Linked DNA regions of Arabidopsis thaliana. The protein of the gene in region 1 interacts with the protein of each later gene in a pairwise test. Each region holds a gene or a part of one and is shown in the gene's direction. Other genes may lie near its edges.

Evidence for each region.
Region 2: the proteins of AT1G61660 (region 1) and AT4G01460 interact in binary tests that used the Arabidopsis thaliana proteins (3 or more experiments, as listed by UniProt).
Region 3: the proteins of AT1G61660 (region 1) and UNE12 interact in a two-hybrid assay, tested with the Arabidopsis thaliana proteins (one study listed by BioGRID).

What each region holds. Positions count from the first base shown.
Region 1 is NC_003070.9:22,752,326-22,758,871, reverse strand, and holds AT1G61660 (basic helix-loop-helix (bHLH) DNA-binding superfamily protein), read left to right. Parts: upstream 1-2,500; 5' UTR 2,501-2,700; coding exon 2,701-3,023; intron 3,024-3,143; coding exon 3,144-3,552; intron 3,553-3,648; coding exon 3,649-3,756; intron 3,757-3,842; coding exon 3,843-3,908; coding exon of another isoform or gene 3,909-3,992; exon of another isoform or gene 3,993-4,037; coding exon 4,038-4,103; intron 4,104-4,197; coding exon 4,198-4,251; coding exon of another isoform or gene 4,252-4,269; exon of another isoform or gene 4,270-4,350; coding exon 4,351-4,502; coding exon of another isoform or gene 4,503-4,506; exon of another isoform or gene 4,507-4,865; coding exon 4,866-4,869; 3' UTR 4,870-5,261; downstream 5,262-6,546.
Region 2 is NC_003075.7:618,063-623,840, forward strand, and holds AT4G01460 (basic helix-loop-helix (bHLH) DNA-binding superfamily protein), read left to right. Parts: upstream 1-2,628; 5' UTR 2,629-2,915; exon of another isoform or gene 2,916-3,265; 5' UTR 3,266-3,271; coding exon 3,272-3,709; intron 3,710-3,810; coding exon 3,811-4,209; intron 4,210-4,524; coding exon 4,525-4,635; 3' UTR 4,636-4,937; downstream 4,938-5,778.
Region 3 is NC_003075.7:1,136,410-1,143,220, reverse strand, and holds UNE12 (basic helix-loop-helix (bHLH) DNA-binding superfamily protein), read left to right. Parts: upstream 1-2,680; 5' UTR 2,681-2,914; coding exon 2,915-3,277; intron 3,278-3,681; coding exon 3,682-3,804; intron 3,805-3,968; coding exon 3,969-4,034; intron 4,035-4,120; coding exon 4,121-4,186; intron 4,187-4,860; coding exon 4,861-4,941; intron 4,942-5,019; coding exon 5,020-5,253; 3' UTR 5,254-5,734; downstream 5,735-6,811. Other genes in the region: AT4G02580 (NADH-ubiquinone oxidoreductase 24 kDa subunit), read right to left, coding at 6,315-6,422, 6,612-6,677, 6,794-6,811. UniProt on the Arabidopsis thaliana protein: Required for ovule fertilization.

The sequences.
Region 1 (6,546 bases):
AAAGATTCTTCGGATTTAACTTATGTTGTCATACGGTGGCTGTGACACATTCTTTTGACGTTCATTTCATAACTTTTATTTTATCGATATCAACCTAAACGAAACAAGTGTTTTCATAAATAAATAAAAAGTTAGTCACGTTGCAATAATGAATTATTATTTTTTTCATTTTTGGCGGAGTGGACTGGTGGGCTTAAGCAAATTGATCAAATTTGTTTTGACACTTTCTTAGTTTATATTAAAATTAATTTTAATTGCACGATGAAAACTTACTAGTCAGTCGCATGGATCTGACCTAACTGTCTCTGTATTTCAGTGCTTCAAAGCTCTTTTAAGTTTTAAGTCAAAATGCATTGTGTCGCATAGAGAGACCATTAAGAAAAAAATTCAATTAGTTCTTAATTAATATTTTAATAATAATTAGATAAATTGGGGCCTTTATAGTCTTCATTTGTCCTCAATAGCCATTATCCAATAAAATATTACCAGTTTCATTTGATATTTTTGTGTCATATTTTTACCATTTAAGACTTTTCACAATTCGAATAGCCATGAACAATAAAAATCTACGAGTTTCATTTGATATTTTTTTTTTTTTGCCGAATACATTTAAGACTTTCACTTCTACTAACCATGAACAATGGTCTCCCAATTACAAAATATATTTTTGAATCATTGGACTACCATAAATGATTAGTGTCTTTTTTGTATTACATGTAACGTAAAAATACCATTCTTCAAGCATTCATAACAATTTTTTTTTTGTCAAGATACATAACGTAAATTTGAATTTCGTAATAACGATACTAGCACAATTTAGCTTAGAATATGTCCAATTTTTTTTTTTATTTTGAAAGGAGATAGATATATAAATATTATATACATGGATATCGGTGAAATTATGTTTATTATCTATGCCTATCGTTTGATAAAACTTGTATATTTTATGGACGGTGACACAGCCCGGTTCACTATGCCTCGAGCCGTATAATGATCATAAAGAACAGAACTGGTTACTATTATCAGGTTCAACAAATCCATTTTTTGATATTTTGTGTGGCTATCAGTCTATCACATAAAATGGAAAAAGAATTAAGAGAAAGAAGAAAAACAAAACAATGACTTGTAATTAAAGTGCAATAATTGATTGACTTATCAAATTTATTAGAAGAATAAAATATTTACGGAATTTAGAAAAAGCTAGTTGAAAAGAATAAGGACCGTTTGGTATAAAGAGATTGTGAAAAAAGTCACAAACACAATAGGTCCAGAAACGGTGACGTGACACACAGATCGAAACTCAGCATCGATCGACGATCGTCATCATATACCATTTATCCCTTTAGCCTCAAGCCACAAGAACAAATCTTATTTTATAGTACTATTTTTAACCGAAAGAATCCGATCGACAATGAAATAAATATCGAACTCATATCAAGTGCTAACTCTAGGTTTTGCCATTAATTTTGCGTTTTCCAATCGAGCTAAAAACAATTGATCGTCTATTAAAAAAATAAAAATTCCTATGATCGCTTTTTCGATCTAAAACTAATTTTTAGTAATAGTAATACCTGTTAAAGTATAAATATCCCTCCCAAGTACTGAAAACTCAAACCTGAACGAGCTAGCCTAGGACTCAACTTTTATCTCGAAAGAATCTTTGAATATTACTTTTGAAAATAAGTGAGTCTAATCCTTGAAGATATATGTTTTAAAGTTTTTTTTAGCAAATGCGATTGAGAAAACATATATTTTAACTTCAAGATAATCATTACTGTATGAAAGTATGGATAATTAATTAGAAGAAACGTTGTTCAAAAATTGGTTAGTCGTTTATAATTACCAAAATAATAAAACAATTATTAATACGCTTGCATAGACTAATTAGTTTTTTTTTTTCCTAAGCTTACTAAAGTGATCTGATAAAAATCATGTATGGAAGCATGAAAGTAATAAAAAAATATCAAGTTTCAAAATTTTAGTCTTTCATATTTATGTACATTTATATATATACGCATGCGTAGACTATAATCAGTCATTTTCGTGTTTTGTCTATACAATTACTAAAAACTGATTTAATCAAAATCGTGATATGTTTTCTATTTCTGACCACTTAATATAAACGATCGATTTGTAGAATTTGATGGCAACCAATCAAAGGTTACCGTTAGATATAATGTCTATATATAAATAGTATCCCCTTTTGGCATCTTGCATAATAGTACCAAACACCTATCTAATCTCAAATTAAATATTTAAATATTTATAAAATGAGGATCATTATCACTTCTTCGAAAAGCTAAGCAGCAAAGAAACAAATCTCACAAAGACAGTTGTTCTTATAATAATAGAAGAAAATTGAGGGATTAGGAACACTATTATTACAACATCTTTCTGTCAAATAAAATATTTAGCTTAAGGAAAAAATTTAAAATCAAGATTATTTAATTAAAAAAATCACATAGGAATGTTATGATGATATAAGTTTTTGTCTTCAAATGTCAACTAAATTCCGGTAATTTCCACACACTTGTCCGTACTTGCCTATATAAACATACACACCCTCATAAACATATATCAAAATTTTACACTTATGCTCTTCATATCACATACAACAAACTCATATATATAAAAACTTTAACCTTCGTATAGCAACGATCTAGTAGAAAGCTTATACTAAAACTTTCTGATTCTCTTAATATGGCGGAGGAGTTTAAAGCTACGGCATCGATTTGTGGTGGCGGAGGTGGCGCGTGGTGGAACTCGCCAAGGAGCGTTATGTCTCCTTCGGATCATTTCTTGTCACCATGCTTCGGAGCGGCTATCACTTCCAATGATTTTAGCTCGCAAGAGAATCATCTCAAATCTAGGATGACTTGTACGGACAACAACAACATCGTTTTCGGGCAGCGAGAGGCGGATTCTGACAGTGGAGGAAGTACCGTGACGATGGACTCGACGTTGCAGATGATGGGTCTAGGGTTTTCCTCAAATTGTTCTTCAGATTGGAACCAAACCATTTTGTAAACTTCTTAAAGAAAAACCCTAACTTAATTTTTTTTGTTCACTTTCTTGATGAACAAGATTGAAGATTTTTAATAATAATCATGAGATCTCTTTTGTTCTTGTTTTGTATTTTTCAGACAAGAAGACTTAAACTCAAGCTTCATAAGGAGCTCACAAGATCAAGATCATGGCCAAGGATTCTTATCCACAACTACTTCACCTTATATACTTAATCCAGCTTGTTCTTCATCTCCATCAACTTCTTCGTCCTCAAGCTTGATACGAACCTTTTACGATCCCGAACCAAGTCCATACAACTTTGTCTCCACCACAAGTGGTTCAATCAACGATCCTCAACTTTCTTGGGCTAATAAGACAAATCCTCATCATCAAGTAGCTTATGGACTAATTAACAGCTTCTCTAACAACGCAAACTCTCGACCCTTTTGGAATTCTTCATCAACCACTAACTTAAACAACACGACGCCGAGCAATTTTGTAACCACTCCGCAGATAATATCTACTCGTTTGGAGGACAAAACCAAGGTAAATTATCTCATATATGTCAAAATAATTTTGCTACTATATAAGTTTTGTGGCTATATTATTGAATTTATTTATTTATTTATTTTTGTTGAGAAGAATCTGAAGACAAGAGCTCAGAGTGAGTCTTTGAAGAGAGCAAAGGATAATGAATCTGCGGCGAAGAAACCGAGAGTCACCACGCCTTCACCGTTGCCAACTTTCAAGGTACATGATCATATTTCAAGATTTGTTTAAGACCTTTTATTTTAATTCAATTTCTTGGTGGATAAAATGGATTGTATATGTAACAGGTGAGAAAAGAGAATCTAAGGGACCAGATAACTTCATTACAACAACTAGTTTCACCTTTCGGAAAGGTGAATGATTTATGTGTTTACTTTATTTTATATGGCTTAATATATACAACCAAAAGCATTTATTTTCCCTTGGTTATGTATTGAGCTTCTTAGTTTGTTTATTTTGTATATCTTTGGGTTAAACTTCAGACAGATACTGCATCTGTTCTCCAAGAAGCTATAGAGTACATCAAGTTCCTTCACGACCAAGTCACTGTACGTTTCTTGTGATTTCTCTCCTAACTCACTGAATTCATAAAACCCTAGAAATGAGCAAATTTTTAAGCATATTAATGTTTTTTAAATACAGGTTCTAAGCACTCCATACATGAAACAAGGTGCCTCGAACCAACAACAACAGCAGGTTCAATACACGATCTAGTGTTTTAGTTTTGTCCAAGTTGGAGTCTTCGTGCTATAATCATGGTTAAATAAGTACTAATTTCAGTATGGATTCATGTAGATATCTGGTAAATCGAAGAGTCAAGATGAAAATGAGAATCACGAACTAAGAGGACATGGTCTATGTCTCGTCCCAATATCAAGCACGTTTCCGGTGGCTAACGAAACAACAGCCGATTTTTGGACACCAACGTTTGGGGGCAACAATTTCAGGTAGAGAAGGTGAATTACGTATATCATACGGTTCTTAATTAGCATTAAGATATTATTTAATAATGCTTAGCATAAAAATAAAAGAAAATAAAATTCACAAGTCATGATCAAAGATTGAATCATTACTTGGAGAAAAAGTAGAGATGGGAGAAGAAGAAGGTGACTCTTCAAAGGTGGGCAGAGGCAACAATAGTGTTGGAGGGGACCAACTACGAAAGCAAGAATGATTTAGGGCTTAGAAAATTTGGGATAATAATCTATCATAAACTAATAGATAGATATATTTTTAAAAACATTAACTTACATACTCTCATGTTATATATGTAATAATTAACCTAAATTTCACTTTTTAATTATATATAGGTGATTAAAGAGAGAGGGTTGTGGTTGTCAAGACGGATGGGAACATATGCTAAATTCAGCTTGGAGACTCTAAAGCATAACAATAATTTTTAATGTATTTTCTTCTTCTTTCAATATTTTAAGGGGGGTTTATTGCTGAATTTAGCATATATGGGTTGTTTTTATGTTGAATAACCTTTTGTTCCTGTCATTGTTCTTGAATATATATATATACATATTTTTGTCGTTGGTAACATCTTTGTTAATCACTTATTAAAGTTAGAGAACATAATAATTGGTGGTTTGTCATATGAAGTTCTTTGTTGTTTTTATAGAGTTGTTTTTTTCATGTTTAATCATAAATTTTAATTTTAACAATCACAAAACCAACACTTATAACCTAATTGTTTGTGATAGTGCCGTTACTCTTACATAGTTACATTTATGTCCAAACTTGCAAACTTGCACATTTTCTGGATACATGCATGTATTTATGTTCGTACATATCCATGTATAAATATGTGTCCATATGGATTCAACTTTTTGTTGGTTCGATTAAGAACTATATATTATGGAAATTCAGTAGTGGAAGCCAGTAGAATAGCGGCCCACACTGCTTCCTACTTTATGATTTGAATATACATATATGATTTTAGTATAGATACCGATAAATATATACTGATTTGCATTCAACATCATTTATGTTTACAGAAAAAAGATTATTCATATGTTACTATAAAGACATATATGTGTGTCTAATCTATCAAATGCCACTCAAAAATATATGCAATGCAAGAACAGAATTCTTACCTTAGATCTCAATATCGATAAAATACTCAACAAGTCCCATGCATGATTAGTACGTATTTATTATTAAAAAACAAAATCTCAAATTATGCCCTATTGGAAATTAATGTTGGTTTTCTCCAAAGTACAAACAAATTAAAAGAACATAGCATGGAGTCAGGATTCAAGATTCTAAAAAGTGAAAATGGAGTTAAGGTCGAAAGTGAACGTATGGAACGGTGAATCTACACATTCAAATATGGTTCTCGGAACCATAAATTAAAGAAGTACTAGGCTTGATTACCACAACATGTCTCTGGCCATTGGAAAGAGATCATTCCGCGACTAAAGGAGAACCGGCAAATGTTTGTTTATGAATGTTTTTCATGTTGCAACTAAGATTATCGTCGTTGATAGAGAGAAGTTAAGATTTGGTTGCAACTCATATTCGGCTATATCCTTTGTCTCAGGATCAACAAAAGTTACCGTCCTACGTAGATTTTTTGGATTCATGAGGTGCTTCGGCTCTTGTCATTGGTTTAATATGTAACTTGGATTCATGTAAATTTAAGTTGCTAAGTTTGTGAATCTAGTGACATCGGTCCCTCTTCTAGTCTTCTTAAATCTTAACCAATAAATTACAGAAAATGGTCGATTACAACTATATATGTGGTGGCTCATATAAATTTTTCGTACCTAACAAATAACAATCTTCGACATAAACAACATATAACTAGTCTAAAATATTGGATATTATATGAGAAAGATAGCATAAACTTGAGTACATTTCAAATCAAATTTAACTTCTACCTGAAAATTCGATTCACTAGTTTCAACTGTAGATCGATTAGAATCAATGTTGTAATAGAGTTTGACAAAATATGCCATGCGCCAAAAGAAAGGAGGATCATGTATA
Region 2 (5,778 bases), on another chromosome or scaffold:
GTACTCACATAACTATTTGCGTATTTGATCTGTCATAGTTGATTTTGTAAAATCTTTTATTTGAAAAAGCATTGCTAAGATTTGTGTAAATAAAAATTGGATTAAACTTCATGTTTACGTTTACGTTCACGTTAATGTCGTGGATATACAAACACAATATATTTTGAAAAATAAATTTAAAAAGTCAAAGAAAAATAAAAAACTAACATAATTATATATACAAACAACAAAGCATATAGAAAATTAATTAAAAACATTTTAAAAAGAATATAGTATTGTATTTTACATAAATATTTTTATAAATTAATATTTATTAACTTATACGATAAATTAATAAATATTAATTTATAGGATAAATTAATATCACTATAAATTAATAAAATTTCATGGTCCCAACATTATTAATTTATAGAGTTTCTACTGTATATGGTTGAGTGACTTATATGATAATCTTGCAATTTTTTTAATGTGGAGAGTAGATTTACAAAAATATTAGATTTTAAAATTTGTTTTGCAATTTTCTCTTTACTAATCTTAGGTCCAACCAAACCATTTCAAGTCATTTTCTTGTTATCTGTAATACATTATATATCTAAAAACTTCAAAATTAATTTGATTAGTTTGCTTAACTAACAGAAAATATTGAATGATACATTTATTACAGATGAAATAATGAATTTTTATTTGTGGCCAATTGCATAATGGATGTGAGATTGTATAGACATATTTAACTTGTCAACTCTACATGCCTTCTGGAAACAAGTCAAATCGAATAAAGTAAACTGAGAGACAATTCATGGAATTGATCTAAACACAAGTGGGTAAACCCATTACCATTTTCCTCGCTCGTCTAAATTCCTATATGTTCTCATTTACTAGTATCGTATCTTCTTTTTTTTTTCTTAAACAAACTAGTACCGTATCTTCGGTTATATGGATGGTACATAGAACTATAAATTGTAAAATCATATTCTACATACTTACTTTGACGATAAATAAGTGCTATTTCGGGTCTAATGTTACACGTAGGGAACTACCTAAGAAAATGTGGTTCGCGTGTCTAATGCAAACTGATTTCCATTCGAACCTATAATGGCTGAAGAAATAGCTATCCACATATGATATGTTGATAATGATATATATTATAGATATTCTTGTGTTTAGCTAAGTAATATATAAAAATTTACTCCACTTTTTTCTCAATTGGTATGTGACATGCTCTTATTGGGTGGATAATGTACTAGACAAAACTTGTAATTTTTTTTTTCTTTATCTATAATAATATAAAAACATTTTGTGTGTTATATTTTCATACATCTATTTTCCTTTCTTCATAATTCGTTTGGCCTATTTTTCAAATGTAGTCTATTCAATTTTATTAGGTTGCATGTGAGTTTTGGACTCACTTATGCATGGTACAAAATCCAAGTTCTTAAAAGACTTTGAGGTAGAATAAAAATCTGTAGTTTGGGAGAAGGAAACAAAAATAAAAAGGTAAATTTCTTTTGGGGGAGAGTACTGTTGTTTGCCCTACAGACCAAGGCACTGAAATCGAGTTGGTATTATTAGGATACTTAACGTTTGGCACCCATGGCCTTGGCCTTGGCCATGTGCATTGTTCGTCCTCTTCTTAAAGGGTACTATTGTCATTCTTAATTTTTATAGCACTAAGTCAACACACCATATTGGGAAATACTTAAAGACCCATAATGTACTTGTTCTAGCTCGATTAAAAGAGAAAAAACAAAGTAAATGAAAAGTTGAAGTAAAAGACATGAAAACCCTTTTTGGATTGGAGAAAACTAATTCTCTAAAGATAGAAAAGAAAAAGAGGAAGAAGCAAGAGAGGCTTGGTCTTCTTTTCTGATCCTGAAACTGTCTTAATAAGAGTGAGAAGTACTGTTCATGGAAGACGTGTCCCCACCAAACAAAACTGTCTTCACTGCCCTCTTCAATAATACTTTTACGGGACCCCTCCTAGTCCCAACGCACAATCTCATTGTGTCTATACAGAGTTATATTATATATATACACTTAATTTCTAATAGTTGTAGCAAAACATATGGTAAGAAAATGAAATAAATACGGTTAATATATTATTATTTTTTGGTCAAAACGGTTAATATATATGTAACACCAATGAAGCCAACATATCCAAACACAGAAGAAGATTTTTGGATGATGATTTAAACATGTATATATGTTAGTGTGAATCTTCAAAGTTTCTGTTTAAGTAGAATTATTTTTATAGATAAAGTATTTTATATGTTTTTTGGTCGAGCCAAATATCGAATTCCTTCATCAAAGTCTATCGAATTCCTTATATTTACCAAAGTAAAATTCGTTAAGAACAAAAATCAAAGAGTATTGTCCCGAAAGAAAATTATTTTGAAGGCCCAAAGAGGACAAGGTCATAAATATTTGATCTGGAGGACAGGACACCCACGTATATTTTTGTCCAAAATTTAGGTTAAAAAAAGAAGAAGAAAGGTTATCTGTTTCACGGATTAAATATTTAATTAATAATACATACATATATTACTGTATGTGTGCGTGTAAAATACTAAATATCGACGACTATATATATAACTAGATAATTTAGCTATAGTATAGTATTTTTATTTTTCACCCTTGGTTTTTTTATACATATATGCACCGAACCTCTTCTTCTTCTCTTCCTCGTCTTCTCTCCTTTTATATATGTGGAAAACTGCATTTATTAAGAACAGTTTAGAAAGTGTCAACCCCTAAAGGAATGTTTTTAGTTTAGAGGAAAGAGAGAGAAGAAGAAGCAGCAGCAGAAGTTGTTAATTTGAAGACTATTTGAGGAAAGACACCTATATCTAAATACTCAAAGTTACAAAAATATTACTTCAGAAAACAGTTCCATTAGAGAGACTCATAAAGCTTCTCATGTAAGCCTCTCTTGTAATTTATTCTCATATACAGAATACTGTTTTGTGCATTTACTCTTCTTCTTCCTCCTCCTTTCATATGATTAACATTCAATGCAAAATTCTTGTAAATTCATTTTACAATAGCTTATCCAAATTCTGCTACTTTTATTATTGTTTCCTCTCGCTGCGACATTCTTTATTTCTCATCATTTAATGTTCTCTCCTCGTACATCCTCTTTGTTCTGTCTTAAGAATTCACCTACCAAACCATTTATTTCTCATACCCACTTTAAGATTTAGTAGATTTTTGTTTTCTTGTCAAAATGGTATCCTAAAACTAATCTCTCTTGTTTTTTTCTTTGTTGAAGCTAATTATGAGTGGATTGATGAGTTTTGGTGAATTAGAAGACCAATTTGGTCAGATTTCAGACACTACTATGGAAGAGAAGATACCATTTCTGCAAATGCTTCAATGCATAGAACACCCTTTTACAACAACAGAACCAAATCAGTTTCTCCAATCACTTCTCCAGATCCAAACCCTAGAATCAAAGAGCTGTCTCACCCTTGAAACAAACATCAAAAGAGATCCGGGTCAAACAGATGACCCGGAAAAGGATCCAAGAACAGAAAACGGAGCAGTAACGGTCAAAGAAAAAAGAAAACGGAAACGTACAAGAGCTCCAAAGAACAAAGACGAAGTTGAAAACCAAAGGATGACTCACATTGCCGTCGAACGTAATCGAAGACGACAAATGAACGAACACTTAAACTCTCTCCGATCTCTCATGCCTCCTTCGTTTCTTCAACGGGTAACAAAATGTTTTAAGGGTTCATTAAACAAGAACGTAATTTTTTTTTCTTTTCAAGAACGTAATTTAGCTTTAACAAGAAAACGTTTTTGTTTCTCTAGGGTGACCAAGCTTCGATTGTAGGAGGGGCAATAGATTTCATCAAGGAACTAGAGCAACTCTTGCAATCTCTAGAAGCTGAGAAACGAAAGGATGGAACTGATGAAACTCCTAAAACGGCGTCGTGTTCTTCATCTTCGTCTCTTGCATGCACTAACTCTTCTATTTCTAGCGTGTCTACGACGTCGGAAAATGGATTTACGGCGAGATTCGGCGGTGGAGATACGACAGAAGTGGAGGCTACGGTGATACAGAACCATGTGAGCTTAAAAGTTCGGTGTAAGAGAGGAAAACGACAGATCTTAAAAGCTATTGTCTCGATTGAAGAACTAAAGCTTGCGATTCTACATCTCACTATCTCTTCTTCCTTTGACTTTGTCATCTACTCTTTCAATCTCAAGGTAATTTTCTTAATCATCTCTTAAACTATCAGTTTCAATTTCCACTAGTTTAAGCATTATTATAAATAGTCTTATGTAACTAGCAATTTTTGACTTTTTGAGGAAAATTAAGGAATCTTCATTTTGAAATGTTTGGTACTTAAGAAAATTAAAATGCATGAGAAACCATAATAGAAAATATCTACAATTATGTGTGTGTGTGTGTATTTTTTTCCTTCACTCTAAGCTTAGAAAATTTTAGTTTAATTTTTTAGTAAGTTGCTAATTTTTGTTTAGTTTTGGAGAGATGAGAAATGAATGGTGTTGTGCATGCAGATGGAAGATGGTTGTAAATTAGGATCAGCAGATGAGATAGCGACAGCCGTTCATCAGATCTTCGAGCAAATCAACGGTGAAGTCATGTGGTCAAATCTTAGTCGAACTTAGTTGACTTTTGACTCCTAGTAACGTGTGTAAACTTTAGGTTACAAAGAAAAGGGACGTGATATAAATAAGAAAAACCAAAGAGGTGAAATTTTGGGAGTTTTAATTATTATCTTATACTTTTTGGATTTTAGATTAGTAGCAAACTCGCAGTGTTCTACGATGACATTATTATTGGTCACATGAAGGTTTAGGTTATTATTGCCTGTAATTTTTGAATATAAACTAACCTATGAGTTCAGTTTGACCCCGAAAACGAAAAAAGTTAACCATGAGTAATATTTACTTCCATTTATAAATGTTTCCCACTTAGTAATAATGTTAAGAAATTGACTTTAGACGTCCGTATTAGAATGGTTACGGAAATGGAAACAAATACAATTAAAGATGAAACATCATTATTACTAAGAAGAAGTCGCCTTCACACTTCGCAACCTCTTTTTATATTTTGCATATACGTTTTATTAATACTCTCATATCGTCCATGCGTCTGACAAATCTACGCTTGATAAAAAAGGTACAGCTACAACATAAATTTAAAGGTATTCTTTTGCATCAACGTCTACTGACTAAAAATACTTGTTTATTGTATAATGACTCTAGTTTTACTTTTAACAACGAAGAGAAAGGTGGCAGAATTTTTTTAATATTCCAATGGTAAAAAAGCATCGTAAAAGGAAGCCTATGGTCAGAGTCTCATTGACACATCGGTCTCGCTTGTAATACGTAAAACTCAGCCTATCTCACTCACATTACTTTTTTCGAAATTTTAATTCATATATCGGTTTCCGCATATATTTAACTTTTGTATTCAAAGCTTATTAAAAAATCGGGAAAAATCTAAACATCATAAGCAAAACAAATCCGATCAATATGTTTAAATTCTGTAATACAAGAACAATATAAACAAAAACATATTATTCAGAAAGCAATGATACATTATTTGAATATTGTGTGTAAGAGTGAACGACAAGATCATACGTCAGAGATAATCGACTGGTAACAACTCTGATCTTTTCCAACTTTTGGTCAAAGTCAAACCATTTGGTCATTTTTACAGTAAATTATTGAGTAATATGTCATTTACTCATTTCTTTTGAGGAAAACTCTTTTTTTATCAGAAAACAAAAACAAATTACTCATTTT
Region 3 (6,811 bases), on another chromosome or scaffold:
ATAGAATAAGATTTATCATTTTTATCTTATTATATAAAGTTTGGTTTTTAAAATGACCGGAACATGTGTCAATTAAAATATTAGATTTATACAAGTAAAAAATAATATCTGTTTATATATATTACATGTCAAATCTAAATTAAACAATATATTTAAAACAAAACTAGAAAATTGTTAACATTATCAAAAAATGAAAATTATCAAAAGACAAAATTATACACAAGTAAAAATAATATTTGTTTGTATATTAAAATAAGGGAGATTTATAAAATTACACTTTTTTTACTACTCTTTTGCAACAATACCCTTTTATGTTGTCCATTTTTAAAAATACCCCTTCTCTTGAACAAAATGACCAAATTACCCTCATCTAATAGAAACATGTAATTGAAAACTGAACTTTTCCCGCCAATTTTTTGGCGCCAAATTTTTTTTTTCCCGCCAAAAAGAAAAGTTTCTGCCAAACTTTTTTCCCGACAAAAAAAAACATTCCCGGCAAAAATTTTTTTCGTAACAAATTTTTCCTCAGCCAAAAAAATGATTTTAAAAATCCTTGTAAATATTTTTTGGCGGCAAATAGATTTACAAAGAATTTTAAAAGGGTTTTAAAAGATTTACAAGAGATTTTAAAAAGGTTTTAAAAGATTTACAAAAGATTTTAAAAGAGTTTGAAAAGATTTACAATGGATTTTAAAAGGGTTTTAAAAAATTTACAAGTAATTTTAAAAGGTTTTAAAATCCCTTGTAAATCTTTCAAAATACTTTTAAACTCTTTAAAAATCTTTACAAATCCTTTGTAAATCTTTTAAAGCCCTTTAAAATCCATTGTAAATATTGTAAAACCCTTTTAAAATCCCTTGTAAATATTTTAAAATTTTTTAAAACAATTTTAAAGCCTTTAAAAATCTTTAAAAGACTTTTGTAAATTTTTGAAATCCCTTTAAAATCTATTGTAAATTACCCTTTTAAAATCCCTTGTAAATCTTATAAAACCCCTATAAAATCCCTTGTAAATCTTTTAAAACTCTTTTAAAATCCCTTGTAAATCTATTTCCCGCCAAAAAAAAAAAATTGGCGGGAAAAATATGTTTGAAAACAAATTTTGGCGGGAAATTTATTTTGGAATATTTTTGGCGAAAAAATATTAATTTTTCATTTTGTTAACCTAAAACAATTTCCAAATAAGGGTAAAATGGTCATTAAAAATTTAAAGAGGGTAGAAATAAAATTGGATAAAACAAAAGGGTAAAGTTGAAAAAGGGCATCATGAAAAGGGCATTAGAAAAAAAAATTCTTAAAGGGATAATAATTAATATATTAAACTATTAAGTTGATTAACTGATTTTTTTTGTGTTAATATATTATCAAAACAAAACTTGTTTTTTTTTTTTTTTTTTTTTCATCCAAAACAAAACTTGTTTTATTTATTGATTTTTGTAAATAACTGTTTTTCTTAGCTTTTATTACTTCTTATGTTGGATGTTCGTGTTTGGTCTGAGAATTACCTCCTTAAGCACAAGTTGTTCCTTTATAAATGAGCTCCATTTAGGCATAATGATGTGAACCCTTTAGTTTTTGTTGGTGTAGACTCAAATTAGAGAGAGGAGTCGCTGAGATTGATAAGCTAGCAAACAGAATCTTCCATATCGACAAGCTTGGGAATCAACCTGAATTGTGATAGAAGAGAGAAAACATTTTCTAGGAAACTAAATTGTCTCTTTTGAATTTGAAATACTTTATTTGGAGCTTGTTTGCTTAGCGCATATCTCGAATTTGATTATATCTCGCAAGATAATTATGTGACGTTTTTGAATTATGTAAACATCTCAATAAGTGATATAGGAAAATTTAACTTACAAACAGAAAAATAAGCGATTTTTTCAATACATTCTAATAGTTGAATACATTAATTAGAATTAGGAGGGATACAATAATAGATAACTACAATTCATTCGTCATGTTCTAAAAATAGAGAGCAATAAGTACGACGGACAGTACCGTCACTACTTGGCGTCATGGTAGATAGGTAGTGGATCTGCTAGATATATGAGAACGGAAAGAACCAGAAGCTATTAGAGGCGGGAGGAGATATGTGGGGATGATTTCAGTGCAATTCCACGACGCACCATTTCCACTTTCGTAACACCTAAACGACCGCTTCGGCCGTATAAAATCGCAAATGTTTGGTCTCAGTGTATTTTTCCAATTTCCAAATACATCAATTCAAATTATATAATATCTAGTGGCAATTATAAGTATATCATATATTTTCAAAATTAATTAAAAAGATTACTAAATTATGTTTGACTACAACTATTATAATAGTTAAAAACATAAACAAAAACAAAGAAACTATTTTAATAAAAAAATCAAGTAAACATTAAAACATAAGCAAAAAATAATGTTAAAGAAATTATTAATTATTAATTTACTAATAATTAATACCTCTATAAATTAATTGTTAGAGGTTTAACGTAATTTATAAGGAAAACTAAAGAAGACTTTAACCCATAAAGAAAAAAACAAAGACTGAATTGAAGGCCCATATTTAGAAGAAGAGAAAGAAGACCCAAATATGATATAAAATCCAGCCCATTTATATATTTTTATTTTGTTTCTGGAAGGAAAATAAGAAAATGGCAAAAACGAAATAATCTGAAAAAGTAAGGTCTTTTACCAAAAAGGATATTTTTTTTATAAACAGAGCATAAAGTTTTCACTTTTCTTCTGCTCCTTTCTCGTCTCTGTCTTCTTCGTCCTCATTCGTTTTAAAGCATCAAAATTTCATCAACCCAAAATAGATTAAAAAAATCTGTAGCTTTCGCATGTAAATCTCTCTTTGAAGGTTCCTAACTCGTTAATCGTAACTCACAGTGACTCGTTCGAGTCAAAGTCTCTGTCTTTAGCTCAAACCATGGCTAGTAACAACCCTCACGACAACCTTTCTGACCAAACTCCTTCTGATGATTTCTTCGAGCAAATCCTCGGCCTTCCTAACTTCTCAGCCTCTTCTGCCGCCGGTTTATCTGGAGTTGACGGAGGATTAGGTGGTGGAGCACCGCCTATGATGCTGCAGTTGGGTTCCGGAGAAGAAGGAAGTCACATGGGTGGCTTAGGAGGAAGTGGACCAACTGGGTTTCACAATCAGATGTTTCCTTTGGGGTTAAGTCTTGATCAAGGGAAAGGACCTGGGTTTCTTAGACCTGAAGGAGGACATGGAAGTGGGAAAAGATTCTCAGATGATGTTGTTGATAATCGATGTTCTTCTATGAAACCTGTAAGTTCTGTTCTTGCTTTGGTGTTTGATTATTAGAAATGGGAAGAAATCGAATTTGAGGGTTTTGAAGAGAACATTTTTGGTAACTTTTGTTTTAGTTTTTGATTTGTGGTAAGTAACTTTAACAAAGTTGATGATTTGCGTTATGTGCTTTATTTTGGCTCAGACTTGTTGAATCTAATCGATTTTGGTTTGTTTAGTAAACTAAGGTTAGCTCTTGTTACTCTATGAGCAACTTCTCACTAGTTCATGTAGCTGCGTGGCTTATCTTGCCTTCTAAGTTGGTCAAATGAGTAATCTTAAGGGTCTAACTTAAATTATTCTCTTACAACTAATGGAGTCAAATCCTTGTGCAAATGGTTTATTTTCGTTTGGTCTTATTTCTTCTGTGTGTTGTCTGGAAGGTTTTCCACGGGCAGCCTATGCAACAGCCACCTCCATCGGCCCCACATCAGCCTACTTCAATCCGTCCCAGGGTTCGAGCTAGGCGTGGTCAGGCTACTGATCCACATAGCATCGCTGAGCGGGTATATTTCAGATTCTCTTTTGTATTTCCCTGTGATATACTATGTTGGTGGCGAGTTGGTTGTAGTTGAAAATATGTTTCGGATATAAAAAAATGTTAACATTGTGTAATGATCTCTTGATTTTATGGAGGGATTACCTAAAAGTTTGTTTTACTTTACCACAGCTACGTAGAGAAAGAATAGCAGAACGGATCAGGGCGCTGCAGGAACTTGTACCTACTGTGAACAAGGTCTGTACCTTTCACCCTAACCCTCACCTGTATATAATTTCTCTAGAAAGTTTGACACTTTCTGTTTCTCCCGTCTTCGTGTGCAGACCGATAGAGCTGCTATGATCGATGAGATTGTCGATTATGTAAAGTTTCTCAGGCTCCAAGTCAAGGTATATTCTTCTCTCTTCTGCAGTTTTAAACTCGAACTCTCTTTCTTGTGAATTATCTTATTACTCCCTATGCAATATGTTTAATCTGTTTGTTCATAAGATTAGAGATCTAAAGATCATGTCTTTCAAATTCTCTGGATGGATTTTTGGTGTTAATTCTGGTCCCACCATTACCTACCCTTCAACCAAATTTCAATCTGATTAGATCAGTTATTTAATGTGGGAAAGAATAAACAAGTCCAAAATGCTTTTGTTTTCTTTGGCATTTAGTCTCTTTTCACTTTTTGTTTTGTCATAGGGAGCCTAATCACAGTTTATGATTATAATACCATATTCAACAATAATTACAATCATCATGTTCACATTATAATATAGTAATCTGGTAGATCATCAAATGCTTCTTATATCAAAATGCAGTCGGTTACTTAAAGCTCTCGCAAGCGAAAAAAGGAAGTCTCTTTACTTTATAAGATAATGGAGACACTAAAGAAACAGAATGCAATGATGGATTTCTGATAAGATAATACATCTTTTGTTTTAAAAATAGAAAATGTGTTTCTTGTGAAATCTTCCATGCTCATCTAAAAGTAAAAGCTTTTTTTATATATATAATTTTCATGGGGTGAAGCTTATCACTTTCAATGATATCTGTTTCTCTTTGTCAACTTTGGTAGGTTTTGAGCATGAGCCGACTTGGTGGAGCCGGTGCGGTTGCTCCACTTGTTACTGATATGCCTCTTTCATCATCAGTTGAGGTAAAAACTTTTTAAGAACAAAAAGTAAAAACTTTAGTAATGGGGTTTTGATTCAGATTTTGCTTAAAATGTCAATAGGATGAAACGGGTGAGGGTGGAAGGACTCCGCAACCAGCGTGGGAGAAATGGTCTAACGATGGGACTGAACGTCAAGTGGCTAAACTGATGGAAGAGAACGTTGGAGCCGCGATGCAGCTTCTTCAATCAAAGGCTCTTTGTATGATGCCAATCTCATTGGCAATGGCAATTTACCATTCTCAACCTCCGGATACATCTTCAGTGGTCAAGCCTGAGAACAATCCTCCACAGTAGGATTTCTGCAATAAAGAGTTTGTACAGCTAATCCAACTGTCCAACATGGGTTTTTCTTCTGCTCTAATGACTCTGGTTTCTTCTCTCCTCTCTCACCCACTTGAAAGGTAAAAAAGTGAAAAAGGCTTTGTAGATGGAATCAATGTAGGATTTGCAGTAGAGGGAAAAAAAATGTCAAAAAGCTCAATTGATCAAGTATTATTGTAATCATTGTACCTTTATTTTAGGTGGACTTTGATGAAAGCAACTTTTTGTTTTCAAGACTTTAGTGGGAGGTTGAGGAAGGAGCTTGAAGGGTGTTATTTATTAGTAGTAGTAGTAGTGGGAAGTTGTGGGACCTTGTTGAGTTGTGTTCAAATTGAAGAAAAAACAAGTATTTGTAATTTGTCACCCCTTGTATTATTATTTATTTTGTATGACTTTGGAGTAGTATAATTAATTATCAAATAATATTATTAGTTTGATCTAGTAACCATCCTTTGTTTGATAACACTAGAAACATAAAGCAAATATTTTAGGAGAAAGTACCATGAATTGTGCTTCTTTTTTTTAGTGGTACGTGTACAATTTTAACTTCCAAATCTCAAATGCTAAGATATATACACTTTGGACAGAACATGTATCAATTTAAACTTGCATGTTTACATTTTGCATTGATTAGTGAAGACAAAATACAACTTTTATTAATATTGTTAGTTTTGGAAAAATATAGCCAAAAAAAAAACTCATCGAAGAATTAAAGTTATTGATATGATTATTTCATGTGATTCATTAAATCATTCTGCCAAATTTATTTTTTGAGTAAAGTTTGGAAAATCTTGTGTCTTTTGAAGTAACAGATAAAAGTTTTGTTTTTATTACAATTTCACATGAATCTTAGAGTGAGATAATAATAAACGAAGATGATTTGGCAATTTGTTTAAAATGGGTCTAAATTCCAAAACCAAGAAGACTACAAAGAGTATGCAAACTCAATTTGATGCGGTACAGGCGTCAAACATACATCGCTATAGCCTTTGCGTTATTGAACCACATAAAACTGCGGCAAACAGAACTTAGCTTTAGCATGCATCAAGATCACGGAATTGTGGTGGCTTAGGCTCACCAAGCAGTGTCTTATTCCCTCCTTCTGGTCCACACTTGATCCTCTTCGGGTTCTGAGTTCCATGCTGAAAAACAAAGATTAACATTATAAGAAGTTGGATTTGGATTTTGGATTTGGATTTTGGCTTAGAGGCTACGTTCTCCAATTTGGAAAGTTAACCGAAACCAGATTGTTTTCCCCCACCGATGTAATGCAATAGTAAGAGAAGAACATCAGGAAAGTATCCAAATGCAATGGGTTGTTAATGTCTTACCGGTGGCTTTTCTCCTTTTCTCAGCTTTTCAACAATTTCTACGACTTTCTCAGGTGTAACATCTTCCTGTGTATTGTAGCATAAGACAGTGTAAGTATGATTTCACTCTTCCGACGTAACCCACATAAACAATAGGATAATGCAGGAGAAAAAGAAAAATTGTTCAACGAGATTTGACATACGAAATAGTTATATGTATA